4 linked regions of the Alligator mississippiensis genome follow. The protein of the gene in region 3 interacts with the protein of the main gene of each other region in a pairwise test. Links are inferred from orthologs where the notes say so. Each region holds a gene or a part of one and is shown on either strand. Other genes may lie near its edges.

What was found.
Region 1: the proteins of BANP (region 3) and PPIF interact in binary tests that used the Homo sapiens proteins (3 or more experiments, as listed by UniProt). The two-hybrid records come from large-scale screens. The link is inferred for Alligator mississippiensis from reciprocal best matches to the Homo sapiens genes BANP and PPIF.
Region 2: the proteins of BANP (region 3) and FOXM1 interact in binary tests that used the Homo sapiens proteins (3 or more experiments, as listed by UniProt). The link is inferred for Alligator mississippiensis from reciprocal best matches to the Homo sapiens genes BANP and FOXM1.
Region 4: the proteins of BANP (region 3) and LENG1 interact in binary tests that used the Homo sapiens proteins (3 or more experiments, as listed by UniProt). The two-hybrid records come from large-scale screens. The link is inferred for Alligator mississippiensis from reciprocal best matches to the Homo sapiens genes BANP and LENG1.

What each region holds. Positions count from the first base shown.
Region 1 is NC_081829.1:33,534,924-33,542,813, reverse strand, and holds the start of PPIF (peptidyl-prolyl cis-trans isomerase F, mitochondrial), read right to left. Parts: upstream 3,018-7,890; 5' UTR 2,940-3,017; coding exon 2,772-2,939; intron 1,161-2,771; coding exon 1,130-1,160; intron 266-1,129; coding exon 177-265; intron 1-176. UniProt on the Homo sapiens protein: PPIase that catalyzes the cis-trans isomerization of proline imidic peptide bonds in oligopeptides and may therefore assist protein folding. Involved in regulation of the mitochondrial permeability transition pore (mPTP).
Region 2 is NC_081827.1:143,899,537-143,906,734, forward strand, and holds the start of FOXM1 (forkhead box protein M1), read left to right. Parts: upstream 1-4,198; 5' UTR 4,199-4,370; coding exon 4,371-4,743; intron 4,744-6,556; coding exon 6,557-6,708; intron 6,709-7,198. UniProt on the Homo sapiens protein: Transcription factor regulating the expression of cell cycle genes essential for DNA replication and mitosis. Plays a role in the control of cell proliferation. Also plays a role in DNA break repair, participating in the DNA damage checkpoint response.
Region 3 is NC_081833.1:74,474,541-74,482,516, reverse strand, and holds the start of BANP (protein BANP), read right to left. Parts: upstream 3,014-7,976; 5' UTR 2,907-3,013; intron 1-2,906. UniProt on the Homo sapiens protein: Controls V(D)J recombination during T-cell development by repressing T-cell receptor (TCR) beta enhancer function. Binds to scaffold/matrix attachment region beta (S/MARbeta), an ATC-rich DNA sequence located upstream of the TCR beta enhancer.
Region 4 is NC_081828.1:38,487,614-38,495,033, forward strand, and holds the start of LENG1 (leukocyte receptor cluster member 1), read right to left. Parts: upstream 3,010-7,420; 5' UTR 2,832-3,009; coding exon 2,700-2,831; intron 2,025-2,699; coding exon 1,842-2,024; intron 974-1,841; coding exon 702-973; intron 423-701; coding exon 206-422; 3' UTR 1-205. Other genes in the region: TMC4 (transmembrane channel-like protein 4), read right to left, coding at 4,698-4,748, 5,060-5,138, 5,413-5,568, 5,840-5,970, 6,182-6,365, 6,667-6,764, 6,881-7,007, 7,103-7,269.

The sequences.
Region 1 (7,890 bases), on a different chromosome or scaffold from region 3:
TAACTTAATTTTGCAGCTAATAGGTTACAGAGCATAGCAATACAAGTATTATTGCTATAGTAGTATTCTAATACACAAGAAAAGCATCCTTTCTAAAGTACCGCAAATGAATATGAAACTTATTTTGGAAAAATTCATGATTAAAGTTCAGTAGAAATATTTGAAAGTTACATTACCTGGCACATGAATGAAGGAATCACTCTGTGAAAGGTGGATCCTTTATACCCAAAACCCTTCTCACCAGTACAAAGAGCTCTAAAGTTCTCTGTCAAAACAAAACGTAAGTCACTACCCTGTAACATCAACATCAATATCTTTTTATTTTGGATTCAGTAAAAATGGATTATCAGTAATTTAGGTCCCAAGTTAACATTCTTACAGTCTAATACAAATAAAAAGATTATTAATAGCTTAAGTGTTTGTTTTGCATGAATGAATCGTGTCTTTTTGAAAGCTACAGCCCTGGAGATGTTCCATTTACCCTCCAAATAGGGCACAGTACAGAGCATGAATGCGTTTTTCACTTATGTGCCTTCACTCCTGCTTGAAACATCCTTAGGAATCAGAGTTCGGGCTCCATGCCTCTTAAACGTTTTCTCTGTTTGAAAATTGTAATGGTAGCATTTTTCTTGTGGCCATCTGTTTATGAGTAACTGGAATAAGAAAACCAATGCACGGAGATCATGAAGTAGCCACAAGAAAGAAAAACCGATCTTGCTTACTACCTTCACAAACCGATTTCTGTATCTCTATATATAGAAGAAAGGGGAAGTCAGTCTCATTAACAGCCCCTCAAGCTGCATCATCTCAGTTCCACAATTCTTCTTTTTTGCATTTCAAATGATAACTGTGGGGTTTTTTTTAACCTTGTATTAAAACTTGTTTGGACAGCCTTGGCAACGCACACACATCCCTCACTTGCCCGTGCATTAAAAGTGAGGCATCAAACTGCTTTTGGGACAAATGCCATGTAAATATTTTCTACATTTAAAACAGAACTTTGGAACAAGTTTTTCCAGTTTCTGAAAAATTCTCTTAACGAAACTGAAAGAGAAACTGAACTTCTCTTAGCTGTATTCAAAACCTTAAAAGGCCAAAGGTAGACAAAATTTCTAAGATGCTTTCTTACCTGCTGTCTTCGGAACTACATCAGCTTTCAGCTGTTGAAACAAAACAAAGTCACCTTTGATATAAAACATGTCAAGATACAGGAAAAGCCGAAGACACCTATAACTTTTGAACTAGGGAAAGCAAAGGATGAAAGAAGAGAAAGAAATTCATTGCACTGTTTAAGATTGGTTTTAGCAGTATTTAAGAACTACAATTAGCAAAACAACATGAATGTTATGAACTCATAACTTGGATCCAGCTCACTGTTCAAAGCTACTTTGAATTATCCCCACAACTAGGTAACTTCCAGCAGTGACCAGTCTTTGAAAAAAAAGTTAAGTTAGGACAGACACAGATCACATTTAAACAGATTTCTACTGCTGCTCATCTGTATTTATAACCAACTTCATTCATGTTTTGGAGGAGATACCAGATTTTTAACAAAATCTACTCAAGTCAAGTAATGGTGAGCATCCATCTTTTCAGACTGGTACACAAATGTACTTGCTTGTTTTCAGCTACATCTTATCTTTTGATCAATTCAGACCTCAAATTAGCGCAACTACAGCTATCATTTTGAAGCCATAAGCATTATCAAATTCACAAAGTCCAGTGTGGTGGCTGCTGTGACAGCTGGGGAAGTGGCAACTGAACTGTTTGGCTCCAGAGTGGAGATGTGAGCTGCTAAAGATCATGGTTGGTCCAGCTGGGAGTGTTTTAGACCCATATCCTCTGGGGCAGGGGTTCCCAACATTCGTGCGCCCAAGGGCACATTTGAGTTTAAAAGAAAAAGCAGCAGGCACCAATATGACAGCATTTTTGCCGGAATCATGATTTTTACTGATCGTGAACATATGCACAGGCACCTGAATAAACCTTGCAGGGTGCCGTGGCACATGCAGGCACCACATTGGGAACTGCTGCTCTGGGGAATGAGCCATGTGGGAACCCCATAACACTAACTGGACTAACAATATTGCCTCCTAATTACAGTCTCTGGGAAACCATGCAGTCAGGAAAAACAATGCAACAGCTTTAACTTCAGTCAGAAAGAGTCCTCTCTTTATAACACCCTCCAAACACTAAGAATGGTCTCATGAGGGCAAGTGCAAGACCCTCCATCTGCAACTGAAGTATTTACACATGGTTCACTTGTTTTTAATCACTGATCTCTAGTCTACTTGGTTTTTGTTAATTTCTTGGAGCAATTATTTGAATCCCACGTTCAAAAGTGTGGATGCAAGAGTGCACGACAAGGCCAGAGCAACCTCTCTTGCCAGCCATCCCAATGGACCTCAGTGCCTTGCCACCATATGCTGAAGGACAAACATTTCGGCCTTCCTGTGCTCGCAGGGGAGACGCGACATCTATCAGGGCTTCAAGCAGAGAAGCCCGAACCAGGATTGCTCTGGCCGGGCCTTTAAGGCGGCGAAGTTAATTTTCAGGTTTGCTGAACAAGCTTCCCCCGCTGCAATGAGCAGGAGCCCAGTTTCGGGCTGAGGAGCCCGAGGACCGAGACAGGAAGGAAGCGGGGAGCCGGGAGGGCCAGGGGGACCCCGCGCCCGTCGGGAAGGAGCCGGCACCACCCGGGCGCGGAGCCCGCGGCAGCGCCCCCTCCCCCGCCAATGCGCGGCGCGGCGCGGCGCGCGGGCCAAGGTCACCTCGAGCACGACGCGGCCCAGCGGGCTGGCGTCCGCCTCCACGTCCAGGAACACGACGGGGTTGGGCGCGCGGGCGCTGCAGCCCCGGCCCGGCAGCAGCAGGCGGCCAACGGCAGAGCCCGGCGGGCGCCCCGCGAGCAAGCGGCGGGCGGCACCCAGCACCAGCATCCTGCGGGCGGGGCGAGCGAGCGAGGCAAGACGAGATGCAGCGTAGAGCAGAACAGAAGTGCCGGCGGTGCCGCGCGGCCGCTCTTTAAGGGCTCCCCGGGGAGCCGCGCGGCGCCCCCTGGCGGCGGGGGGCGGAGGCGGGCCCGAGCGGCCGCCAGGTGCGGGAGGGGCGGGGCGCGGCCGTGGAGCCCGGGGGAGGCTCCGGCCCCCCGGCTGCGTAGTGCTTCCTCCGCCCGCGGCGGCCTTGGCTGGGCCTCAGCGCGCCCTCGCAGGGCACCGGCAGCCTCGTGCTGCTCTGCCCCGGTGTCAGCGGGCAGTAGAGATCCCAGGCAGGGGCCTGCCCGCTCCAGAGCAACCCTCGCCCCAGCGTGCGGCAGCGCAGCCCCGGGGGGCTGACACTTCTTTCTGGCCCCAAGTGCTGCGCTGTGCTGCGGCTCGCCCTGCGCAGAGAAACAAAGCGCGCCCGGTGGCCTGCGCTTCCCGCCAGCTCACGCTCGGCCTTGCCCCAGCACTGGCCACATGGAGCAGGCCCCTGCAGTTGTCAGAGCTGGACCGTCCCTGTCCAAAGGCGTCAGTCCTTGCCCACCGGCGGGGCCGGTCTTGCCAAGCATCCTGAAACGCTCGCGGAGCCAGCGGGCTTCCAGCGCTCGCTCCCTGAAGGGTGTTTAGAAGAGAGACACCTGAGGTGGGCCGTGACAAGGATTTACCAAATACTAAATGGCAAAGAGAAAGACAATAGATTTATTAGTTCCGCTCTCTTGCACTACAGGGTCTAGGGGTCACAAAATGAAACTAGCTGGTAGTAAGTTTAAAACCCAAAGAAGGAAGGTCTTTTTCCCACAGTGTATCATTCAAGTGTGGAACTAATTGCCATCAGATGTTGTGGAAGCTGAAGGTTTAGCTAGCTTCAAAAAGGTATGGGACATTCTCGCAGGAGAGGTGCATCAGCAGGGAGGTGACATGCATCTCAGTTTCTTGTCTGATCGAGACCCCACAGTCACTATCCTTAACTATGTTTCCAACTGTTACACAAAATAGTTAAAACAGAGGCATGAGCAGCTGTTGCTGCACAATCATTTAGTACTTTGCTCACATAGTTTTTTCAGATACAGACTGTACAGTAGCAACGAGCTGCTGCTCAGTAGTGTCTTGTGTAGATGCACCCACTCAGTACTAATTGTGATAGTTATCACAGGAATTAGATCTCTGAATGGTACAAAAGATACCTGTGAGAACCTCTGTTTTAAAATTCAGGTCCCTCTATAAAAAGTTGAGAGAACCCCAGATTGAGACTGACTGCTTTGGAATAAGAAACATGAGGTTCTCCCCCCCCCCCAATCAGAACTGGGGCAAGAACTCAGAAGTTCCTCCTTAATTGCAGCTGTTCAAGGTGAAATTCAGTTCTGTCCAGAGGACCTGCACTGAGGCACTGAAAATAGATTTAATTTTTCTGATAATATAACAGTAGGTTATGTTTCAGATTAAAGCAGTATCATCCAGTCTAGGGTTTTACGCTCTTTCCTGCATCTCAATTCTTGTCTATTTTTGCTGTGGTGACAGGAGAGCCTTAAGTTCCCACCATATACAATAACAGTATTCCCAGGAGTTGTCAAATGACAGTACAGAAACTTTTAGAGGGGACAAAAGGAGATTAATTCTATCAATTAAAATTAATAGCAGACATTATTAAGTTTTAAAGAGGAAATTTAAGATGTTCTGCCAATGCCCCAATTCTGCAGTTAATAGTTCACTCACATTTCAGTGGCAAGAGTCTTAACTAATTTACTGATCGGCAGGGATCCTGGTTTCTCTGTTTAAAAATCCCTAATTCTCTGATTAAAAAAATCAAAATCTGCAAGTTTTCGTGCTTAAAATGAAACATCATTATATATACAGGTATCAGTTGAATACAATGTCTTATTGATATATTTACAATTTAAAAGCAGTTTGGAAGCCTATTAGTGCCTCAATCATTATAATAAATTCAGTTCTAAATACCTATATATTTTGGTGTTTGATTTTGTTTTTTTTATCATGGAAAATCAGAGCTCCCCCTGCCCCCTTAGCTCACCAGGATGCAGGTCCAGCTGTGGCTGTCTCTCCCCCCACCCCTGCTTTGTGATGCTGAGAAGCCCTGATATGCCCCTCCTGACCCACAGACCACCCCCCCAGCCCTGTTGGTGCCCCCCACTTCTGAAGCACTGGCCCTCACCTTCAGCCCACACAGTGTGTAAGAAATGCGGTGGTTCTGTGGGGAAGGGGGTGTGTGAGCACAGGTGATGCATCAGGAGGGTTGGGGAGCCACAGGTGACTTGGGGAGGGGTGAGAGAACACACTCCTCTCCCCCCCCCCCAGATTTCTGTGCCCACAGCGGGGTGCAAGGATGCAGCTGAGACAGACTAGCTCCAGGCAGGAGCCACCTCCACAGCCCTATGGGCAGGACCTGGCACAAAATGGAACACCGTGCTGCCATGCCTGCCAACGTGAGGCATGACGACGGTGTGGAGTTGTTCCCTGCTGCTGCTGGGCAGGCAGGAAGCACCTCATCTCGTGCTCGGTCACCTGCTGGGCTGCAGAGGCAGTTCCTGCCTGGAGTTGGTGTGGCCCAGCTGCAGCCCCGTGACCTGCTGTGGACACAGAAATCGGGGGGGGGGGGCATGTACCCCCTTTCCCCCCTCCATATCACCTGTTCACCCAGCCGCCAGGGGCACGCGCTGTTCATGGTGGCGCCCCCTGCATCCCACTCCCCCCAGCCCCAAAAAGCCCCTTACAGGGCTCTACCAGGCTGCAAGGGGGAACCCATCATTTCCTGGGTTTTTCTCCTTTAAAGGAGAATGTCCATGTTTTCCTGTGACATACAGAAAACCCAGATCCCTGCTGATCAGTAGTATGTATTAGGTTTATAATAAGCATTGTATTTAAATTGCCCAGAAGTGGGGTACAAATACAAATCAGTGATATTGTTGATGCAAACTTCTCTATGAGGTGATTTAACCTGGACATGTAGTGACCAACCATGATACAAAACATATCATTACATTTTTCGGAGATGGAAGAGTAAATGTGAGAGTGGCTATTGAAGGACTTGGGAATCCACCCACAAAGAACTGAACAGAAGCTACCAACTAATTTTATATGAATCCCAGGACAACCTTTGCATGAGACACTTGGAGCATTAAAATGTGAAGAGTAATTTATTGAATTGATTATCATTATAACATGCCCTAGCTAGTGCCATGAAGCACAAGATCAAACACAAAGAGTCATTAGCTACCCATCATGTACAATAACCTTTAGAAATGTGCTGCCTGGAGCATTTTATTACCTATTATGAAATGTTTTTTATAAATAGATGGATGTTGAATGCTCATAGCCACCTGCCTATGACATGTGTATGACATCACAAACTTCTAGAAACCTCCACAGGTATCTGGGATACTAAAATGCTTTCATAATACTGTACAGTTTCCTGTTTCTACCTAGGACATTATTATAACGGGTGCTGAGTCAGTGTGTCATAATAGCATATCATAGTGTTTCAGGTTGTAGTGTATAATGAAAAGTTTGGGGGTTTTTTTAAACCCGACTTAAGACATTATTTTAAAATTATGTACATTGCATTTTTTTATTCAATTCATTCCAGACCATTCTTGCTCTACTGAAATCCAAGGTAACACTCCCATTAATTTACTGGTAGCAGAATGAGGCCTTTTGTAAACCAGCATAAATTTTTCCTGCCACACCCATTAAATGTTTCTAAATATTTGTAAATGCATATACATTTTGATTGGGCTTATCTGCTAGTTACATTGCAATTGAGTTCCATATTCTATTACTACAGTGTAGCACTGTCCAGAACGGTGGATGCTAGGGCTGTGCGAAAAACTATTGTTTTGTTTTGACACCTGTTTCACCGCTTTGAAGGAACAGTGTTTTGTTTCATTGTTTTGTTTCATTTCAAAGCACTGTCCCGTTTCGTTTCATCACAACAGTTCTGCTGTTTCAACGTGTTTTGACGTTTTGCCCATAGGCTATAATGGGTAATCATGAAAATGCCTAAAACTTTGTAATTTCTTGCCTGATTTGGATGAAAATTGCGGGATGGTAGCCCCTTCTGAGGGCATGAAGCCTACCCAAGTTTCAAGGAGATAGGTACAGAGGTTTCTGGGAAACTGCAGCTCAAACTGTTCAAAGCACAACTCCTGGCACTTGCCAGCAACAGCAACCTTCTCTCATTTGGCCTGCAAATCCGGGGGCTCTCGCCCCTGGGAGGAGTCCGGTACAGTCCCACAGTGCTTCAAAAGCTAAGTGCTTCAACACCTGAGTGTTGACTTTCAAGCAGCACTGATGCAAATATAGCTTATAGGGATTTCTCTGGGAAGTTTTCTATGGCTCTCAGGGCCCAAACTGCTGGATAAAAGATTCTTCAATCCAGCATCAACACGACTTTTCCTCAAGCTACTCTGCTTTTTCCCCCATTTCCTCCGTGCCAAAACAGTGTCTGGACCTTTGCTACCACTCCTTCATCCAGAAACATTCACTGTGGCCATGAACACTTGAACTCATCAAAGGAATAGTAGGCAGCTATTGCTGGAGTTTCAATACCTATTTTTGCTTAAAGGCAATGTTACTATTTGCATGTTTCTAGAGGCATATGCAGATGGTAATGTATGGCCTTTGTGGGACACCTGTCTGAATATATTTGTGAGGTTGGTTTTCTTCATAGTTTCATAGTTGGTAGGGTCGGAAGGGACCTGAGCAGATCATCAAATCCGACCCCCTGCCACAGGCAGAAAAGAATGCTGCGGTCAGATGGCCCTGGCAAGGTGTCTATCTAGCCTCCTGTTAAAGACCCCTAGGGTAGGAGCGAGGACCACTTCCCTTGGAAGTTGGCTCCAGATCCTAGCCGCCCTGACTGTGAAGTAGCACCTCCTGACATCCAGCCTGAATC
Region 2 (7,198 bases), on a different chromosome or scaffold from region 3:
CAGTTCTGGAGTCTGTATATCTGGTGGACTGAAGATCTCTAGCTCTTGAATAGGAGACTGAGAGGTTCTCTCTCGAAAGCTCTTTGGGTTGCTGGCTTTTGTTGCAGAGCCTGTCTTGGGCTGGGCATGGCATGCCTTTGCATTAGTTTTGGAATGCCTTGTGCAGGTACAGGTAGAAGTTTTTGGATTCTCAAAAGTTAGAGAAGGAAATCTGCAGACAGCAGGTTTCTGACCAGCTCCTCCTCCTTGAAGGAATCCATAACTCTTTTCCTGGATCTGGAAGTTTTTGGACACATGCTTTTGCTTCTTACCTCCCTTGCCCTTGAAGCCCATGGGTAGAGTGGCTTCAAACTGCGGGGACACCTGAAAAGCCAAACAGAGATGGTGAAAAACCATTCTCTCAGATGGGATAACCCCTCACACTCCTTGGCTCCTCCACAAGGAAACAGCAACACCATTCTCACTGCACTTCCCCTTTCTCTAATGTATCTATTGATCTTCATTTGAGAGCTGCCGTTGCCTCTTCCAGCACGTGGTCTAGTTTACCGAGATTTCCTCAGCTGCAAACTATGTTCGACACTCAAGACAGCATGAAAAATTTGGAGGCTCACATAGCCACAAAGTGCAGTTCTACTCTGAAATGCAGTTTTAAATGTGCTATCTTCTCTGAATATACTTAAATGCATCTATTTTAGTGATAGAATAAATCTTTAATTGCTACTGAATCCTCCACAGTTCAAAGAGCAGGTTGGATTCTGTTTCTTCTTGTGTTTTACAAACCACCAGTCTTGTTGATACAACCAGGAAGACAAAGCAGCAGCACAGGTGTAACTGACACCAGAATATTAAAAGGCAAGTCACCATGTTAGCCTCAAGCTAGGCAGAAGCCAATCTCTAAAGGTACCACCACCCTGTCCTGTTTTCTGCCAGAATATTGTAGGTGAAGGATAAGTATTAAAGAGGCCTAACTGGATTCTTAGACCCCCAGCTGAGGTTGTTTCACTGCACAAAACACATCTTATTTATAAAAGGGACATTTATTCTGCAGTAATGGAGACAAAAAACATAGAATCCACACAGCCATTTTTAGAGACTTTTCAAAGAAGACTTGCAATTCAAAGTTTTTTTTTTAATAATTAAGTCACCTATTATAGGGGTGAATTCTGATATTGTATTCTTAAATTACTCTAGAAACCACCAGTCTCTTTCATGCATTAAATTACTGCGCAACATTTCACAAGCCATAACCTAAGTCAAACAGGAAAAAAAAATGGCAAGTACCTATCCCACTGTTTTCGAGATTTCCAATCAAAACAATTGGAGGATACACAGGTTCTACACACAGGGGACTGCAGACCCCAGGAAATGTTTACGACTAGGAGATTCATGCAATTGAGATTCAAGTGATGAAATGAGGCCTGAGACCTAACTTGGGATTCACTATAAGTAGTCAGGAGAAGTCAGAGGAGAAGTTAGCCCAATAACTGCAATACTAGTTACCCAGCCATTACTTCTCAGACATCTCCAGATATTGGGATATTTTCCAATGTGTTCCAGATCCACAGTGATTCTCTCTCATCTCAGCAAGTGCTTTGCTTATTGATTTAGAAGCCATATAGCTGACTGCCTGCAACATGTTTAAAGTTGATCTGCTCTGAACTTCTTTCCGCCCCCCCCCCCGCAGCAAACAACATAGAAATTGACCTCAAATAACTCCAATTTGCATGGCTGGTGGAGTGTTCAAATGTATACTTGAAACCTCACTCCTTGGGGCTGCTTTGTTAAAAAGTTTTGAGTCCAAAGTAGCAATGCTATTTAGCAGAGCTGCCCAAAGTGATAGCTGCAGCTAAAACCAAGGCAGTTCCCACAGTACAGCAGCACAACTATTTAAAAATCTTTGCACAGAATGGCATCATGCAGGCAGTGCAAATGACTGCAAGACTGAATAAAACGGACACTGAATTGCCCTCTCAGCCCATGGGAGGGGGACGCTGGAAGGAATGCATGGAAAGAAGATTAAAATACAAACTGAGCTGGGGGAAGGGGAAGGGTCAAATGTACCAACCTTCCCTTCCCTTGCAACTACAGCTCATTACAAGGTACAACATCAATTTTAACTCCATGCCACAGACATCAACAGTCCCTGGTTTATTATTGTATGAATGACAGCAGAAAAGCAAGCTGTTAAAGTAGACATAAAAATAAATGCTAAAGAGAAGAACTACAGTTAGGGGCATACAAAAATGGAGCTAGCACCTTAACTGAACAGCAGGGATCCTGGTTTTCTCCGATCAAAACAATCCACAATTTTCAGATTAAAAAAAAGTAACCAAAATCCACATTTTTCCATGATCAAAATGAAACACTACTATATATAAATTAGTGGCATTTCATTTTAATCACAGAAAAATGTGGATTTTGAGTTACTTTTTTAAATCTGAAAATTGTGGATTTTTTTTTTTAAACAGAGAAAACCAGGATCCCTGTTGAACAGGCAGGTATTACTTTAGGCATAGCTTTCAGCCAACCACACTTACAGCACAGTAGCTATTTCAAGTATCAAAAAAAAAAAATCCATAAAATAAAAATGAAAGAATAAATATTTTATTTTCTGTGCACAGGGTTTTGAATTACTATAAAATCCATAAAGCAATTTCTCTTTCTGGATCCCAGTATTCAATGTCATTATGCTAATGTACATGACATGGAGTTCTGTTTCATTGCCAGTGGCCCTAAAGTATCATTCAGTACCTGAAGTGGCAATAAAGCTTGAGCTGCTTGTGACTTGCAAGAGTGGGCTTTGGAGCAACTCCGAACTCTACAGCTAGTTAAACCACAAGGAAATAAAGAAAAAGCACCCATTTATTGGCTCGTGCCAATATCCAGTACAGATCTCTCCATTACCTTGTAAAAGAGAAACAAAACAAAACACTGTATGAAATGAAGGAGCAGGAAACCTGTACTTACCCACTCAGTAGAGGCATTCTGGTCTACGGGTCTGGTAGGAACACATCTTGGGTTCTCAGCCAAAGGAAGAGAAGACCCATAATGATGAACAGATCCCTCCCGTGGCCTCTCAAGGAAGAGCAGCTCTGGCTTCTTGGCCTTGCGGGTGCATTTTTTCTTTGGAGGCATCAAAAGGCTTGAGGAAGCCACTTAGAGACTTCATGATGCTTGCTGGAGCTAGTCAAGAGAAGAGGAAGACTTCTCAGCTACTCCCAGATCTGCAAAGAACAAACGGAGGGACCTGAGGCCACCAAGCAATCTTGAATTTCTTTTAAAAAGTAATGCTTCTGATTGTGCCTAAGCTCTCTGAAAAGAACTGTTTCTAATGAAGACTGGAATAATAAATACATTGCTCTACAGACACAGAGCTAGGCTGGATACAAATTGATGACTTTTTCAGTTTAAGTTAGAAATGGCAACCTACATTAATCCCTACATTGTTGAAATCCTTTAAAACAAAAGAAAATAGTAACGTGGTGCACACTGCCCACCAACACTTTAATGTGAAACCACCAAACTAGGTGGCTACAGAAAAGTTTGCTGAAGTGCTGCGCCAGCTTCTGTGTGGGTTGCCTCTTCTGCACATACAGAGGCAACGGTCTTTTCTTTGGTCCAATCAGTTATTTATTTGTTCACGGCTGAGGAACCAAAGTAGACACTTACTTCCTTCCCCAACCTACATATAAAAGCCGAGGTGGGCACGTCTGAGACCCACCCGTGCTCAGCGTGCGGCCCCCGGACCCACAGCACCTGGCCGCGGGGCGTTCGGCTGCTGAGGAGCAAGCGGCCGTTAATGTCGCCACGCCCCCGGCCCCGCCCTACTGCCCATTTTCCTCATGCCCCTTTTCCCTCAGAGCCAAACGGGGCAGGGCCACACCTGCGTACCCCTGTGCGGCCGGATCGGAGCAGCGACCCGCCCCCTCCGCACGTCCTTCCTTTGCGGGAACGAGCCCTACCGCCCCGCGAGAGCCCGCCCGCAAGAGCCCCCAGCGTCAGCCGGCCCGGCACGGGCCCTACCAACCCTATGGGCGGTCCTGCCCCCCGGTCCCGGCTTGGTGGCTGTTAGTTGAGCCCCGCCCGCGCCACCTGCCTCCGGGTCCGCACCCCCTCCCATCTGCGTGGAGCCGCCGCGAGCACTGATTGGCCGCGCCCCGGATGGAACGCTCGGGCGCCCTCCCATTGGCCGCGGCCGGCACGTGACGCCAACGAGCAGCCGGGCGCCAAATTCAAACGGAGACACGAACGGCGGCGCCAGGGGCAGCGCTTGAGCCCGGAAGCGGCCGCGGACCCCCCCCTCCCCCCCACCCGGCCCCGCGGGGGAGGGGCCCGGCTCGGCCCATGGCGACCGCCGGCGCGGGTCCAGCATGAGGAGCAGCCCGCGCCGGCCCCTGATCCTGAAGCGGCGGCGGCTGCCGCCCGCCGCCCGTGATGAAGCGCCGCGACGGGCTCCGGGCGCGGCGGCGGCGGAGCTGGCGGGCGCGGGGATCCGCGTCACGGCGCACCCGAGCCTGCCGCGCACGCAGGTGGTGGCCATCCCGCCCGGCGCCGACCTGCGCAGCGTCATCGAGGTGCTGACGGCCAAGGGCAAGGGCTGCGGCAGCGACGGGCCCACCAAGTTCATCCTTATCAGCGGCGGCGGCACGGGCACGGCCTTGGCCTCTGCCCCCAGCCCCGCGCGCCGCCTGCCCCCCGGCGGCAGCGACCCCGGGCCCCCGGGCCAGGGCCAGGCCGGCAGCAGTACGTAGGCTCTGCGCGGCCTGCGGCGGGCGGGGGTGGTACGGGGAAGCTCCCGGCCGCGCTTGGGGGCAGGAGTCCCGGCCCTGAGTGCCGGAGTCTTAGTGGTCTGTTTCCCCCCGGGGCTTGTTGGGGCTGGCGGTACAGGCTGGGCACTCCAGACAAGCAGAGCAAAGGTTTTTTGGAAGCTGGGCTTCAGGCTTGCTAGGAGATGTGGGGCTGGAGCCAGGTGGGGAGCTGGGCACTTGACATCACTCCATTTTAGTCTAGAGAAGAGGGGACTTCATAGCAGCCTTCAACTACCTGAAGCGGGGTTGGACTGTTCTCAGTGGTGACAGAATGAGGAGCAATGGTCTCAAGTTGCAGCAAGGGAAGTTTAGGTTGGATATTAGGAAGAATGTTCTCACTAGGTGGGTAGTAAACACTGGAGCAGGTTACCCAGAGAGGTGGTGGAAGCTCCATCCTTGGAGGTTTTCCAAACCTGGCTAGATAAAGCTGTCTGGGATGATCTAGTTGGGGATGGTCCTACTTTTAAGCAGGGGTTGGACTAGATGACTCCTGAGGTCCCTTCCAGCCCTAATTTTCTATGATTTCTATGAAATGCATAGCTAGAGATACCAGGAAAGGGAGATCTCTGTTGCTTTTGGACTGGCAGCTGCGGCTTCTTCCTTGCTACCCCCTCGTGAAGAAACTTGGTCCGTGCCACACCAGGGATGAAGGTTATATTTTCTCAGCTTGGACTTGAATGGCCATTTGGGCTTCTTCCCCATGGGGTTACCTCAACCACTGCCTGCTGACAAATACACTCTTCTAACAAAAAGAAGCCTCTGTCTCATGTGTGTGCTGGTAGATAAACTCCCACATGTGCAAATGTGCCTCAGTACAGGTGCTCCACAGTCTGTAGGTAGTAGCTCTGCTGCTGCATGTGGCTCTTAGACTAAGGAAAATAAATGTATTCACTTTTTGCTACTGCTGTTCAGGGCCCTTGCAGACAGTCAGACTTTAGTGCTCTTGAGAATCACATCAACCTGGGGCAGATGCTGCAGGTTGGCAAAGCTGTGAGCAGCAGGCAATGGAGTTGCTTACATGGAGAAATGAAGTTTGGGAAGGAGCAAGTGGGATGTTTTCACCTCCTTCAGAATGGTCAAGAGCCCCTGGCAGACAGGTAGAATAGCAACCACTTTCAGCAGTTTGAGAAAGGAAAGTTGAAAAGACTTTCTTCCTTTTCCAGGCATTAGGGGATGGAGGAGATGGAACAGTTCACATGGAACAGTTACAATTTGGGATGTTTGTGAGCTAGAACCTGAGGAAAGAGGTGGTGCTCAAGTAATTGCAAGAGGTCAAACTAGAGTAGGAAGGCCAGCACCCTTCTCCCTCCACCACATGCATCCCTGCCAGGAGCTGAGCTCATTAAGGTCCTTCCCAGGCTTCTGCTGGTAGAGTGCATGTCTTTATTTCTCATGGCCTCTGTTGCTAAGTTTAGTCCTCTGGCTAGTACATGCCTGAATTTCTTTTTGTTAAGAGTTGCTTTCAGCAGAAACTCATTTTAGTTCAAGGAACAGGGTGGGAGGAGGGATTCCAATTAAAGCTAGCTTTTTAGGCTTGAAGCTACAAATTGGGAGTAGGGCCCATCCATAATTAAACCACAAACTCTGGCTACTTCCACAAGGTTGTTTAGCTTTGTAGTGCTATTGTGTACCTATGTCTTAAGGGGGCACTGAAGATACCTTTGAGGTTCCTGGTTGGGGTGTCCTTCAAGGCATCTGAGATGTATTTGCAGATAAGTGAGCAATGCTCTGGGTCGATTTCTCTGCAGGCAGTGGAGAGATGACAAGCTGTGCATTGGATAACAGCCTAACTAACATCCAGTGGCTGGGAAGGATGAGCTCTGATGGCCTGAGTCCTTCCACTGTGAAACAAGAGATGGAGAAAGAGAACCAGACCCCTGTACAGGTGGAGGGAATCAAGGTAAGAAGCACTCTAGGGATGAAAGGAGTAGAGCATAAGATAGAGGAAACCTCTGGAGAGGGGAAGGAGATGGGATACATAGGTGAGAAACCTTGGAGGCGACAGACATAACACAAGCCTTTTCCCCATGGAAGGAGGGTGGTTAATCTGGTGAAAAGAAACCTGAGGGGGAATTTGATAACAGTCTTCAAATACAAAGAATAAGTTGCTTATAAAGAAGACGGAGACTCTATCCACTGGGAACAGGACAATAAGTAGTGGTCTTCAATTACAAGATGGGGAAATCTAGGTTAGAAAGTTCATCCTAATAACCAATCTAGGCAAGTTAAACTCTGGAAAAGATTATTTGAAAAGGTTTTGGAATCTCCTTCACTGGAAGCTTTTAAGCATGTTAGACAAATACTTGGATGAGGCATTTTAGATAGGGATGCTCCTATCTTGAACAAGGGTTTAGACTAAATGACCTCCTGTAGTCCCTTCCAGCTCTATT
Region 3 (7,976 bases):
CCAAACCTAATTTCTACTTCAGTTAAAAATACGAGACCATGGAAATGCTGATAAAAAGAAAATGCAGATGTTCTGTGATTCCACCTCATTTTTCATGGGCAAGTGTTACTCAGCTTGAAAAGTTTGGAGAAAATGATTATTATAATAAGGGCTACAGACAACCTACATGATGCCAATACAAGTCACTGCAAATGTGACTTAGATAGTTGAAGCATACTAAGTGATCATGGCAGAATCAGAACATCGACAGGATGCCTTTTTGGTATGTGTGCATGTACATACATACCCTCCCCACACACACACCTTGTATGCTTCAGAAACACGTTACTGATGTCCATGAAACATGCGTTGGGATAAAATAATTAAAATTATTTTAAAAAATAAATTAAAAAATAATTTAGCAGAATATAAACTGGTGGAATACTGGTGCTAAACATCTCAGACAGTGAATTAGCATCCATTGGATTTCTGTAGCACTGAGTGTTAATAATAGTATTACTCGTTTAAGGAACCTTAACATTTTAGGTCTGCATTGCAGCCACCTGATAAACATTGCTGGATCCAGACATTAAAAGGCTGTTACTGTTATTATAAATCAGAAATCAGGACAAACAGCCAAAAATTATGCCCACTCCTGGAAACAAAAAGGATGTTCCCATTCATCAAAACTGGATTCAATCTTTTAACTGCCCTAAACATTTATCATGTCATTCTTCTTGACGTGCAGCTCGGCATATTACCCAAGTCTGAGCTTCTGGCCAAGGCAAGGCCTGGCATCCTTACGGAAGTTCACTGCAACGTCTCAGGACCAATTAAGAATTGTTCATTCTGTTATATTTTACAGGACATTCATTTAATATGCAGTGAAATAAATTCATGGTGTGAACAGAAACTATTAAAAGTACGCAACTGAAAACACAAGCATTCAGGGCTTAAAGATAATCTCAATTACTATACATGCACCCATTGATAGATTTGTGATTGCACAGGGCATTTTACACAGCAAATGTTTCTCTCCCCACCCTCCCCGCTTTACTGCATATGAGACTAACAGAAATATGGGAAATTAATATATATATATTTGCACTTCAAAAGGGATGTGGCCAGCCTGGAGAGGGTTCAGAGGAGGGCCACCCACTTGGTGAGAGGGCAGCAGGACAGGCCCTACGAGGAGGAGAGACTGAGGGACCTGAACCTGTTCAGCCTCAGCAGGAAGAGGCTGAGGGGGCACCTAGTGGCTGCCTACAAGCTCATCAGGGGGGATCAACAGCAAATAGGCAGAGTCCTTTTCTCCCCAGCACCACCTGGGGTGACGAGGAACAATGGTCATAAGCTGATGGAGAATAGGATTAGGGTAGAGATCAGAAGGCAATATTTTACAGTTAGTGTGGCCAAAATCTGGAACCAACTTCCCAGGGAAGTGGTCCTCGCCCCTACCTTGGGCAAATTCAAGAGGAGGTTGGACGATCACCTGTCTGGGGTCTTGTGAACCCAGCATTCATTCCTGCCTGTGGCAGGGGGTCAGGCCAGATGATCTGTTCAGGTCCCTCCTGACTCTAGCTACTATGAAACTATAAAAATATAGATACCTACCTATCTAGCTCACTCTCTCTATAGATCTCTAGGTAGACGTCTAAGTGGATGTCTAGGTAGATGTCTAAGCAGTATCCAAGCGGGTGAAGGTGTCTAAGCAGATATCCAAGTGGATGAAAGTAGATGTCTAGGCAGATGTAGATAGATATCCAAGTAGATATCTACACACACACACACACACACACACACACACACACACACACACACACACACACACACACACACACACACACACACGTTAAACTCAGTAAACTGTAGAACTAAAGAAGTAACAAACTGCAGACAAAATAAGCAAACAAAATGCTGTACTTCCCCCCCAGGAATAACCAAACAAAAACACTTCTCAACAGGACCTGTCACTGGGGGGAGAGACAGGACACGCACGCACATGCACACACAAACAAACACACAGCTTTCAAAAAAATGAAATTTACAAGGATTTAAAACCTACTCCTGCGAAAACCCTCCCTTAAGGATACAAAAAATGAAAACACACCCAGGCAAATTAGACCCCCCCGCTCTCGCCTCCCCACCACTAACAGAAGGACACGGCTTTGATGAGAAACCTGCTCGTTTTGACCACATCACAGAGAGAAAAAAAAAAAAAAAAAAAAAGCACTTCAAGAGTCCAACGACACTTCAAAGTTGGGGGGGACGGGCATGTATCCGGGTGGCTCAGTGCAGGGACCGGGGCGGGGGGGGGCACCTCAGCCCATTTGTCCGACCCCCACCCCCTCCTTACAGCTCCCTCTTTATAAAGAGATGATGTATAAATATATAACTTTACATCTTTACACCCCCACCCCCTTTATAAAGATATAATATATAACTTTACATATTTATAAAGGGGGGGGTGGGAGATATAATATATAACTTTACATATTTATAAAGGGGGGGGGGAGACAAAAATTGCTGACCAAGCACCAAAAATAATTTTAAAATATAACTTTACATATTTATAATGGGGGGGGGGGGGGGGGACACAAAAATTGCTGACCAAGCACCAAAAATAATTGTAAAGCCCGCCAGGCGGTAGAGAAGAGCGCCCCCCCCCCACGTCGCCCAGTGAAGGCCCCCCCCCGAGGAAAGCCCAGGCCCAGGCGCAGGCCCAGCGGGCCGGAGGCGGGGGGGAGGGGGGAATGGTCCGCCCCGCCCCTCCCCCCGCCTGCATGGGGGGGGTTGTGAGGCAGCCGCCCCTCCCCCGCCGCGGGCCCTCCCGGAGGCGGCGGGTGGAGGCGGGGAGCGGCGGGCCGGGCGGAGGGCGGCCCCCGGGGAGCCCAGCCCGAGCCGGCGGCCGCGGGGGCCGCGGTTACCGTGTGCGGGGCCGAATTCTCGTGGTGTTTGTCGAGCGGCTGCGATAATGGCGTCCTTCCTCGCGAGAGATCTCCGCCGCGCCAGCGCGCATGCGCCGCCGCCACCCGCTCCCCCTCCCCGAGAGGCCGCGCAGGCGCGTTGCCGCCGCTTCCCGGCAGCCGCCCTTCATCGTCCCAGTGACTACAAGTCCCAGAGGGCCGCGCGCGCCGCCTCTTGGGTTGTACGGCTGGGACGTGTAGTCCTCGGGCGGGGCGCGGGGCATGCTGGGCGCTGTAGTCCGAAGGGCAGCCCTGTAGTTCCTGCAGCCTCAGTGACCTGATCCGATGCCTAGCCCTATACACCAGCCTAAGGGATATATCTGCAAGTTCTGCATCATCCAGATTTTTTTTTTGAATGACAAATATACAAGCAATACTTGATTTCAGGGGTTTAGGTTGTAGCTGTGTTGGTCTAAGGACATAGGCAGACAAGCTTGCTTAATAACTATTCTCCAACCATTTGGGTTGGTCTAATAAAAGACATCAAATTCATCCAAGGAACCTTGTCTGTACTTGATTTCAGACATTCACGAGACGACCAGTCTAAGGGATAAATCTGCGAGTTCTGCATCATCCAGATTTTTTTTTTGAATGACAAATATACAAGCAGTCCTCGACTTCAGACGTTTCGCAAGATGACCAACCTAAGGGATAAATCTGCAAATAGTGCATCACAGCCAAAAACCCTTCAAAAAGTCCAACCAAGAGCCCTTCAAAAAGTCCAGCAAAGTCACCTCAAAGAAGTCCTTCCAAATCAATATGATTGCTATTTACAATAGAAAGACATTAGTGTAGTTATATTACTCATCTATAAGTGATTGACTACAAAATACTGGGTTATTTTTGGTGAAAATAGGGTATCGGGTCTTGGTTCAGGAACCAATCCCCCATTTATAACATTGTTCCTATGGGAAAATCGGTTCCAAGTTATGACGTTTCAACTTAAAATGCTGTTTTCAGGACCAGTTGTGTCATAAGTCTGAGGACTGCCTGTACTCAAAAACTTATAAAAACCACGCAACACAAAACATCCCCACAACATAGCAAAACTTAAACACAGATTCCATCTCAAAATCCCACCGCAACAAAAGTAGGCAAGGTTCTTTGAGTAGATGTGATATCTTTTATTAGATCAACTGAGTAGTTGAAAAAAAGTTCATCATCATTCTGTCTGACTCATTCTGTCAATGACTGTTCCTTTACATTGTTCTATCATTATAAACAACGCACCTTCTATTTTCCGAAAATAACCCAGCACGACCCCCCAAAAAACACATCATCTCATCTGATCCCACATGTTTCCTTGACGTCATGGATAATATCATACCAGACATCACTTCATAACACCCCCCTTCCAAATCTATCATATTACGCCTTACCTATCCAAACACAATCCCAATCTGCGCAACTCAAAACAAAACAAAAAATCATAGAGATGCCGTGTAGAGAAGTAAGGGACCTCAAGAGAGAGAGTCCAGCTAGGGTTCAAACATGCAAACCTGTTATAAGTAGGTTTGCCAACTCTGACTGAAGCTATTCCGGGAAGTTTTTTTCCCAACATTACCTAGTGTCATCATTAATTGTACTGTTCAACCCGTTCACAATATCCTTCCCCCAGATTGCTTTCAATAGTCACTGATGCCAATTCAGGTAGACTCCCAGCCAATCCAGGAGGGTTGGCAACATTAGTTCAAAGCACCACACTCTAACCCTGATTATCGTGACTTGATATGACATTTTCATGTGACATCATGATGGTCGTTATGAGGTTTTTATGCCTCACTGAAGAAACCCAGTGGGTTCTCACATGCTGCCATTGGGGTTTGCACGGCATCCTCATGCAGTCTGAGGCAGTGCCGTCCTCCTGGGTCACTTCTCTGCATGATGGGATTGGACTAGTGTATCATTTCCTTTTCTGATTTGTGTTACCCAAGGCAACACGTTTCTCCCCTGCCTCTCACTGGCCTCACGGAGGGCTCTCGCCCATCACCTCCATGCTTCACAGATGCAGATTCCAGGCGTCTTTACCAAAGGAGAACAGAAAGTTGAGAGTTAGCAGCGCACCACATGCTGCAGTGAGACCCCAGACTCAGAGAGGCAGAAAACGTGCGACTCAAGCAATGGACTGAGCAAGAGTAGCCCGTTGGGAAGGTGCAATACATCAACAGGCCTGCTGTCATGCAGCAATTTGCAGTCTGCACATTAGAGTGCAGCCGGAGGCAGCAAAAGCTGTAAAAAGCAGCCCTGGGAGCAATCACGAGAGAAAGGGAATCCAGTACCTGATTAAGTGGTTTCCTTCTCATTTACTGTGACCTCAAAAAGCCACGGGTCTGTGCCAAGCTCATCAGTCTGCTTGACTGATAATCTGACTTCACCGATGACCACAAACGGACAGGAAGGGTTCAGGAATTTCTGCACATCATGGTTTACAAGTCCTTCCTTCTGCAGTTCAAAACCTTGGTGCTCTTCTCGGCAGATACAATTGCTGTTAGGATACAGATACATATCCGCACGTTTTGGCTCACAGCCTGCAACTCTGAGACCGGGGGACCACGCTTTCCTACTAGAAGCAGTTTGCTGACACTATCAGGAATCTGGCAACCCCAGACATGTGCAGGTCTGTTAGCCACCCAGGTGGTTAATCAAGGTGGCATTGGCAAGTCAGCTGTCAGGCTGGTGGTGGTGGCTGTTTCATCACAGGCTGTGGGCCCATGAGTGCCTCTGGAAGAATATTTGGGTTTCAGAGAATATTTGGGGGTTTTAAGCTACATTGATGCCACTGACGGCACATGCCATCTCATAGCTTCCCCTTAAAGGAGCCAGTCAATATGTTAACCATAAGAGGTACTGCTCCCTGATTCAGTATGGCAGGTGGACCACAGTGGCAGGTTTGTGGAAAGCACTCATACAGTGCACAATGTCTGCCATTTATATGTTGAACTTTTTGCCCTCCCCCAAAAACATGACTTTCAACAAGCTACAAGTACCTCCCCTGCCCATACCCCTCTCTAGGGGAATGGAGTATTATTTTATTGACGTATCTGCATCTTCTGCTGGAGCGTCCTCTTTCCTTACAGCTGAGTGGATAGCTTTTAGATAACCATATCTGTTATTAGTCTCACATATACATGCAAGTAGAAATTTCAAAACAGCAGGACTTTGCAGACCTCTAATAATAAGTAAATCTCCTTCCTGTCTTCTGGTTTTCTCTCTCTCTCTCAGTGTTTCAAAAGGCTAATACCTGCTTCATAGCAGCCAGATGTTTGTTTCTGTTATGGTCTGTAAGACCCACCATCCGTACCGAGGAACTACTGGCAAAAGCTTTTGGCACTATGATCCAAAAATGCTGCTGAGCGCTCTGCTGCTTTCTCATGCACCCACTCACGCGCCAAGAGCAATAGCTCAACGTTGAGTGAAATCTCACAGCGCCCCATCTTATCTGTGTGATAATTACATTGCATTTCAGGACAAATCGTCTTAAAGCTGCTGCCACTAATTATAACATTTGTGTACGAGAAACTAAACAGTTTATTGTGATAAATAATGCAAACAACTCCAGCATACACAGGGAGGGCTGAGCTAATTTCTAACTCTGCACCCCCACCCCAACTCCCACCCATCAGTTAGGACATGAAAAAATAGCAGGGTAAAATAAGGTGGCAGCACCATCTGCAGGTGGAGGAGATGTCTGCAGTGATTGTTGGAGTATTGTCTAAAGTACAATAACTGTATAGGTATACATTAATTGAAATGCAAAACAGGATGTTAAAAACTGGTTGTCAGTTTTTAAGTCTCTCCTTATCACCTGTGACTTTTCATTAGAAGAGTGACAAAAGAGAAAGAACTTGTGAATCTTCATATATGAGTTTCATTCTCTATTTCTTAAGAAACAGATATGTTCAAGTGGGAGGTGACTCGTTATCCCAGCTCAGATGACAATACCTGCTCTGTTACTTGAATTCAAATGGTCAAATTTTGGCAGCAAGATTTTGGCCCTCTGCATTTTATATATATATATATATATATATATATATATATGTAGTAACTTTTCTCCACAATGTTATAAAAATTGTGTGGTCACAGATAACAGCCAGTTTATTTGCCCCTCATTTCAGCTTCTAGTTGAAATAGTTTCTTGGGCAATTGCCTTAGTTACAGCTTATACATGGAGCTCCATATTTGTCATGGACTTGGTATCTCATTCATCAGCTTCCTTTTCTTGTTGTTAAAACACACACACACACACACACACGAGGTCTAGCATACAATCAAAGGTAAAAAATTAACGTTCTGTGCACACAATTTTGCAACCATACCATCAACAGATCAAAGGTTGCCAAACAAGGGTATGTCCCTTTCCAAGCCATTTATTTAAACAAATGACCAGCATTCACAATCCAGATCCATTGCTGAACATGTGGATGTCAGCAGATGAAAAACAAAGGCATGACAAAAACTCGAGAGGCAACCGGAGAACAGAGCCGGTGCAGAACATCAGCTACAGCACCTCTGCTGGGCACGTCTACATGTGTGCTTTAATGCGCATTAGCCTTTTTTAATGGGCATTACAACGTCACCAAAAAAACCATGCGCTTTCACTAAAGTGCATTAAAATAAGTTAATGCTCCTTTTTCTAGTACCTCACAATGGAGGTACTAAATTTAATGCGCATTAGCAAAAGCACATTAATGAACATGTAGACATACCTGCTATGATATTTTCCTTTGGTGTGGGTGAAACCTTTGTAACATGCAACTAAAATCAGAGATGGCCCAGGAAGGAGGCCATATATTGGCCTGTATACATCTGCTCTCCTGAGACTGAGGTACATGTGAACGGACAGTACATATAAAATATCCATGCGAGTGACACCCTACTCATCCCTGTCCAGTGTGCTTCAATTCCAACCTGCAGCTTCTGCTCTGTTCCAGTACTGTCCCCGTTGCTCTGCTAATCCCCCTTAGTCTTGATCTCTACTTCTCTGAACTCTACTGCCATTACAACCCTACCCATCTCCCGGAAGGGATGGTG
Region 4 (7,420 bases), on a different chromosome or scaffold from region 3:
GACTCCCCACCTGCCAGTCCAGGGAGGCATTGTTAAGGGGAGGTGTAACAAAAAAGACATCCTGTGTCCTTGGAACAGAAACATCCTTGTGGTTTGAAGGGCTGGAGCCTTCCCATTCTCTGTCCTTGGAGCCCTGGCCCTGCTATAGTGCCTATTCAGGCAGTTCCATGTCTAGAGCTCCAAAGCCCCCATTCTGCACCCCAGCTCAGCGCTGCTCCTCCTGGTCCCGGGGTTTCCGGGCCAGCTGTGGGTTGAACTGAGAATTGTAGCAGCGTCTCCTGTCGTCCATCTCCACTTCCTCCCTGCAGCTGACTGACCCTCCCCGCATCCCAGCCAGCAGGGCTTCTGCCTTGGCTCGCTCTGCCTTCTCTCGCTGCAGCCGCTCCTGCCTTAGCTCCTCCAGGGAAGTGGGGCCAGAGGTCCTGGGATAAAAAGCAAGGGGTTAACATCCTCCTGACAGTTGGAGTGAGGGCTGGCTGGGAGCAGAAATGGTATGCAGGACATGAAGAGGGGAAGGGAAAGCAGTACAAGACTTCCCACTTGGCCTCCCACCCCTTATAGGGACAAGAGAAAGGAGTGACAGGCTGTGGGCCCTGTGGCCTGAAGTTGCTGGCATATGTAGGTAGAAGTCTACAGCACAGGCCCAGCCCTGCTCCAGTAAACCGAATACCAGGATCCAGCCCTGCTCATGTCCCACTCACCCCACTCCCTTTCTTTCCTCTTTGCGCCTGTCCTTCTCCTTGTGCCTCTCCTTTTCTTTCTTGTGTTTCTTTTGTTCCCCTTTCTTCTTCCGCAGGTACTTCTCCATCTCTATGAGGGGGTCCAGCTTCCCCTTCAGCTTCTCATCCCTGACCATGTCAGCTGCCTCCTTGCTGCAGTCTGGGGCCTCCTGGTACCAGGGTGGGTTGGTTTGGGCCTCAGCTGAACTCTGTCCCAGATATGTCAGCAGCCCAATGGCCTTCTCCTGGTGCTCCTGTGCATGGGAGGGGTATGATAGGAGTCTGAATGGAGGGGTATTCTTTTTAAGTGCAGCCTATGGGGGTGGATACTCCCTCCACTGGCCTCAAGGCCTGAGGCCCGTACTCGGGAGATACAGCTCTAAGATTTTGAGGGGTAGGGGATGGACACACCAGGGTGCAAATGCTGTGGGGCCATGGCCAAGCACAGCTGTAATCGGGGCAGGGGGGATGGACAGTGGAGTCACATCCCTGCCCCATCAGAGCCCCAGAGTGGTATGGAAGAGCTTCCATATGAGGAGAACTAAAGAGCTAGGCCTGTTCAACTTAAAAAGAGAGCTGCATGAGAGGGGACATGAGAAGGGTTTACAAAATAATAAATCCATGTCTACTTTCTTTTCACCATTTAGTATTTGCTGTCACTCATGATACAAGAACTAAGGGTCACAAAATGAAAGTGGCAGGCAGTAAGTTTAAAGGAACCTCTTTTTCACACACTGTGCAACTCAAGTTGAGAACCCGTTGCCAGCAGATGTAGTGGAAGCTGACAGCCACATTAAAAAAGCAACTGGACAAGTTCTTGGAGGAAAAGTGCAGCAGTAGCTATTGAGCCTGGGAGTTAGCAATATAGCCTGTGAATCAGAGCTTCCTGGACCTCAAATGCTGGGAGGCTGCAAGCAACAGAGGAACAATGGGAAAAGCCCTAGTCATGCCCTGTTTACTCGTCAGCATCTGCACTCTGCCTGCACGATGCAGGGGACTGGGCACAATGCACCTATAGGGTGACCCAGTCAATGACAGCTCTTATGAGTGGGGGCATCCCATCCCCACAGGTGTCCGATCAGGTCCCCTGGGGCCTCAGATGTGCCAACCTTCTTTCATTACCTTCTCCTTAAGCTTCTCCTCCTCATACTCCTTGTTCCCTGCCTTGCTGCCCTTGCCATCCTCCAGGTCACGGAAGAGGTCGACGTGATGTGGCTGCTCACCGCAGAGGGCCAGCTCCGAGCTGCTATCGGGCTCCGGCAGGGCCAAGAGCCGTGCCTTCTTCCTCAGAAACTTGGTCCGTGCCTGCAGGGGGGACACGGCTGTCAAGGGAAGGAGGGGGGTTCAGGGCCAGGACCTGCAGGACTCTATGGCTCGTTCAGTGTTGGGCCTTGGGGAAGGGGGCCAGCCCCAGGGCAGCTGGGGGGTACTACTGCTGTGCATAATAAAGGCAGCAGGGATCTGGGCTGAGATTCCACAAATTCATGTCACCCAAGGGCAAAGGTAGCTGCAGACATGGAGGAGGCAGCGTGGAGCCCACAGGGCCCTGGGGTTCTTGTCCAACGGGGGAGCTGAAATCCACACTGCTGGAAGAAGGAATGTGGCCCAGAGGCCTCCCCCTCCAGCCTCAGGGGGGGCACTTCCTAGGGAAGGATCTCTTCCTTGCCCTCTGCCCCCCAGCTGGAAGCAGTACAATCTAGCTTCTTTCCTCTCTCCCCCTGCCATTAGTACAGTTTATTCCACTTTTCTTTTATCCTTGACGCAATTCAGAAGTGGTTCAAACCAGCTCCCTCCTCTCCCCCTCCCCGCACTTTAGTCCCCAGCGATTTTCTGCGCCCCGCCCCCTCGGGAAATGGTTTGGCTCAGATTTCTGCTCCTAACATCCCTCCAAAATGGTTTAAGGCACGAGCCATCTGAGTCACGTGACCAACCCGCATGCGCCCGGGGGGGGGCGGGCTCCGCGCCTGCGCAGTGACTCACCTCCTGCTCGGCCAGCAAGGCCCGAGCCTGCCGCTGCTGCCGCTCATCCTCGGCCTGGGCCTCGTCCCGCCGCACCCGGGCCACATTGTCTTTGTTTCGCACGTGCCAAGACTTCTTGGGGAGGATGTTCATGTTTGTGCTGCAGGTAGGCTTCTCCCGTCGCTTCCGCTTCCGGGTCACGAACCCACTGGCTGATTGGCTTGCTGCGTTCTTTATCTCATTGGTGCACTAAAGTCCCCCCCACTCCCCTCGGCGCGATGTCTGCTTGGCTGCAAGGGATTCCGCCCTCGCTCTCTGATTGGAGAGCAAAACTGTGCGCTCCTTGATTGGTGCGTGATTATCCCGCCTCCCCCCCCCACCAAATTCGTGCCTGCCCCAGCGTGCGTGCTGATTGGCCTGCGGAAGCCGCCTCCCTCCCACCGGGATACTGCCCCTTCTCTCCTCACACCCACTTAACTCACCTCCCTATCTGGATTGGCTTCCTCACCTCCCTGCCCAGCCTCCTCGTCCCTGATTGGTGCACCAGAGCCACGCCCCCTGCCACAGCCCCTTGATTGGAACCACAAGACCAAACCCCACCCAGAACCATGTAATTTCTGATTGGATCCTACTACTCCTGCCTGTTGACACATTCCTGGCCCCGCCCCCACGTGAGCCCCCTTCCACCCTAGGGCCCCTAGGGGAGGCCTGAGGTCACTGCTGCGGGTGATCACTCATTCGCTGCCAGATCCAGGTCATGAACATACATGTGTGTGCACATGTGCCCACGCCCACCAAACCTCCCCTTCAGTGTCCTTCCCTCCCAGAGGCGTGAAGGCTGAGTTGCGATGTGGTAATGCCATGGCATATCCCATGGAGTGGCAGTGCCTGTCGCGGCATAGCAGCCCGGTAGCGCACCCTGTAGCAACCCCAGGGTCCTAGAGTCCTTCTCTCCCCTTCTCTCACTGCTCCCCTACCACCCGTCTCTGCTGGTGACGCTTGGCCCCCAGCAGCTCAGGAGCCCACAGAGAGCCGTGGCCAATTGTAGGGGGTGAAAAAACACTCCGGTTGACAGAGAGAGAGAGAGAAAGCTGTCATGTGATTGGTGAAGCTGGGGCAGTGCTGCCCCTGGGGAAGGAAAGGCAGGTGTAGGGTACAGAGTCCAAGGAAAAAAATCTTGGGGACCATTTTCTGCAAAGAGCCACAGCGGGGAGGAGTGGAGCTGTGGTCCACAATCCCTGCTAACAGCTTGCCTGGGGAAACCCATAACGTCTGGAGGCCAATGGACTTCACCTGGGTATGGATGGAGGTTTGATTGTTTCTGGTTCCCAGCTGTTGAATTTCACCTCCTGTTTATTCACCCTGCTGTTCCAGGCACTTACAGCAGCAGAACTCAGCCTGTCTTGTCCAGCCCAACTTTTCTATGGCTTTTGGTGATTCTCTGATGGGCAGGATGAATGGCACGGGGCCAGTTCATGGGTTGGATCCCACGCATGTGGTCTGTCTGTGGGGCTGATCCAGCACAGGGGCAGTCCATGGGTGCGATCCATATCATCCAGTGCCGGGGGGGTCCCCATGGATCTAGATATTTGGCACCAGGGGGAACGGTGGCAGCCGGAGCTGCAGCCCTTAACGCTGCTACCACTTCCCTGTTGCCAAATTCCCAAACCCGTGGGGAGCTCCGCAGGCCATAGGTTGAGCACCACTGACGTATAGCTGTTTCCTTGGCTTCCAGGACTAAACTGAGCAGTGTCACTGTGTGCTTCTTAACAGGTCTCCGTGCCCCACCCCAGAGATGGCTGCAGCTCGGGGTCAGCTAAGAGATTTCTACGTACAGCCTCAAAAACTTTGGTGCTGTCCCAGTGACTGCAGCTTCCATCCACTGGGGCCAGGGTTTGGCATGGGGAAGTGCAATTGCTTTGGCAGGTGCGGATCCAGGGCAGGTGCAGAATCATCATGAAATCAACTGGAGGAGAGTTTCCCCCATCAGCAGGGGGGTGGGGAGCAAATGGTGCCCCCTCAGCTCAGCTCTGTGATCTGGTTCACCAAGAAGACTTTGTCTCTGCCCTCCTGCAAGGGGAGCGAAACCCAGCTGGGTCAGTACTGCTGCCTTCAATTATCTCAGGGGCCCACCTCCCCTGGTATGCCAGGTCCAGGAACCTGGCTAGTGGTCAAAGCAGGCACAGTTATGCCCATGGGGGAAGTTTCCTTGTCAGCAGCAAGAAGATGAAGCTTTTGGCTTCACTCTTCAGGGTGTCCTGCTGGTTAGTGCTGTTCCTGGGGCTTAGATCCCAGATCAGAGCCAGTAGAGGGGAATGTACCCCTCTCCATCCCCATCCCAGGCAGCCAGAACCCTGCCCTAGCCCCAGGATGTGACTCACCAGCTGCAGCTGCATCTTGAGCTCCTTGACCAGGCGGCTGTAGGAGTCAGCGAGAGCCATCAGGTAGAACAGGAAGATGCTGTGGGGGAGGAGGGGACCGGCAGGGACTGAATTAGGGGTTGGCATCAAGTGATGGCTTGGGCAGGGGCCTGGCAGGGGGTACTGAGAGGAGGGAAAGGGAGCTCTGTGGACTGGGAGAGAGGCGCTGCTGTGCATGTGTGTGGGTATGCACCTGTGCACATGCGTATATAACTCCTTCACCATCCCCACAGCATCCCTGCTCTCTGTGTACTCTCAGCCGAGGGAGATTCCCCAGCCTTCTCAGCCCTCCTCAGCCTAGCCTAAATTCTCACCACAGGAGCAGGAAGAGTGGCACGATGAAGCCCAGTGAGCCCACAAAGTAGAAGAAGCCCCTGGCCAGCTCAGGCAGCCCGTCAATGGCCAACAAGGCAGCATTCCACATAGATGACTCAGCCCGGAAGGGGCCGCAGGCTTGGGACGGTGGGAGGCTGCATGAGAGAAAGAGGAGAGGGGGGACTGGTCAGGGAGAGGAGAGGAAAACTTGGACATGGGAGAGAGTAGGACCTTGGCCCTTAGGCAAGGAGTGAAAAGAACTGGGGCTGTAGCAACCAGGCAGGGGTGCGTGACAGGACTCAGCCCCTGGGGAACAAGCCAGGCACTGAGTGATGCCACTGCCCAACCCCTGCTCCCCCTGGCACAGGAAGATCAGAGAGGGGAGCAGGAACAGGGTGGGACTGTCAGTGTGGGGGTTGGACTCACGCAAAGATGCTGTATAGCGCCGGCACCCAGGAGATGGCCAGGCCCAGCAGCAGGACCAGTAGGAAGAAGAAGTTGGAGCTGGAGGCGCGGAAGGTCCGGTCGCCAGGACGGCAGTTGGAGAAAAGGGTGAGCTGTGGGGAGGGGAGAAAGGGATGGGTCCACAGGGGAGGAGAGAACCCAGGGGTCCTGGCTCCTAGAGCTCCCTGTTCTAACCCACTCATCTCTCAGAGCTGAGACAGAACCCAGGCGTCCTGGCTCCCAGGCCCCACCGCCCTGCTCTAACCCACCAGACCCCTCCGCTCCTCCTAGGGCCAGGAGAGGATCCAGGCATCTGGGGCGCACCTTCTTGAGGTAGAAGAGGAGGATGTACTTGAGGGTGTTGAGCAGGGGCAGAAGCGGGCAGAAGGAGGCACCGACCCAGCACACAGTCTGGCCGTACACCAGGTCCAGCACATTGGTGGGCACCAGGAACTCTTGTTGCCCCCAAAGCCGGGCAAGCAACACAGGGCCGTGGCTTACCAGGATCCTGGGGGAGGGAGATGAGGTGACAGGGCCTGGCCCTCTGCTCTCTGACTCAGCCCCATGGGCTCCTTGCCCTGACTCTCCAGAACCCCACTACACCCTCCCTGCCCAGCCTGGCCCAGCCCAGCCCAGCCTCCCCCTACACCCAACTGCTCATTCCTTACAAGCTTCTCCAGTCCCCACTTCCAGCTCTCCCTTACAAGTTCCCCCAGTCATTTCCACCCTACCCTGGACACTCTCCACAGCCCTTCCAACCCACAGCTCATCCCCCAGCCTCTGTCCTGCCAGGTCCCACCCCCTCTCACTTGCGGGGGAACTCCACCAGCAGTGTCACCAGCAGCATGGTCAGCAGGTCAAACACCAGCAGCTTGTACATCTCCTGCCCCACCCGGGTCTCCCAGCACTGTGGGGAGACACATCATGGCATTGTCTTGCAGTCAAGTCTGCTCCCTCCAGCCTCTCTATTCTAACCGACTCCACTTCTCCAGCTGGGAGACAACCCAGGTGCCCTGGCCTCACCGGGAAGTGCTGGTGGTTGTAGCCACAGGTACGGCAATCAAAGGCCTCGGTCTGCCCGTGGCAGGTGATCTGCATCCAGAGGGAGACAAGCAGGACCACAAGGCTGGCAAGGCGCAGGAAGACACTCCTGTCCAGGCAGAGGAGGAAGACAGAGGCGGTTAGAGGGGCCATGGAATGGCAAAACGAGGCAGGATGTGGCAGGGCTCCTCCCATCCCTGGTACCTGACAAGGGTTAATTTGATTTCTTGGCTGAACGGGTATTGCTCCAGGCGTACCAGGACCCCAAAGGCCATAGGCACTACCAGGTTGGCTCCCGTGATGATGATGGAGGGCAGGTAGGAGACCAGCAGTTCCCAGAAAGCCTTGCTCTTGGACTGTGCGACACTCTGCTGCAGGGGAGAAATGGGGGGAGGTAACTACAGCCCTCAGCGAGAGCAGGTCCTTCCCATGCCCCCTGACAGCTGCAGTGCCCTGGGGAGCGGACACCAGCCCTGTCCATGGCAGTGAGGGGTGCCAGTGGGGCTGGGGGAGCCCAGGGCA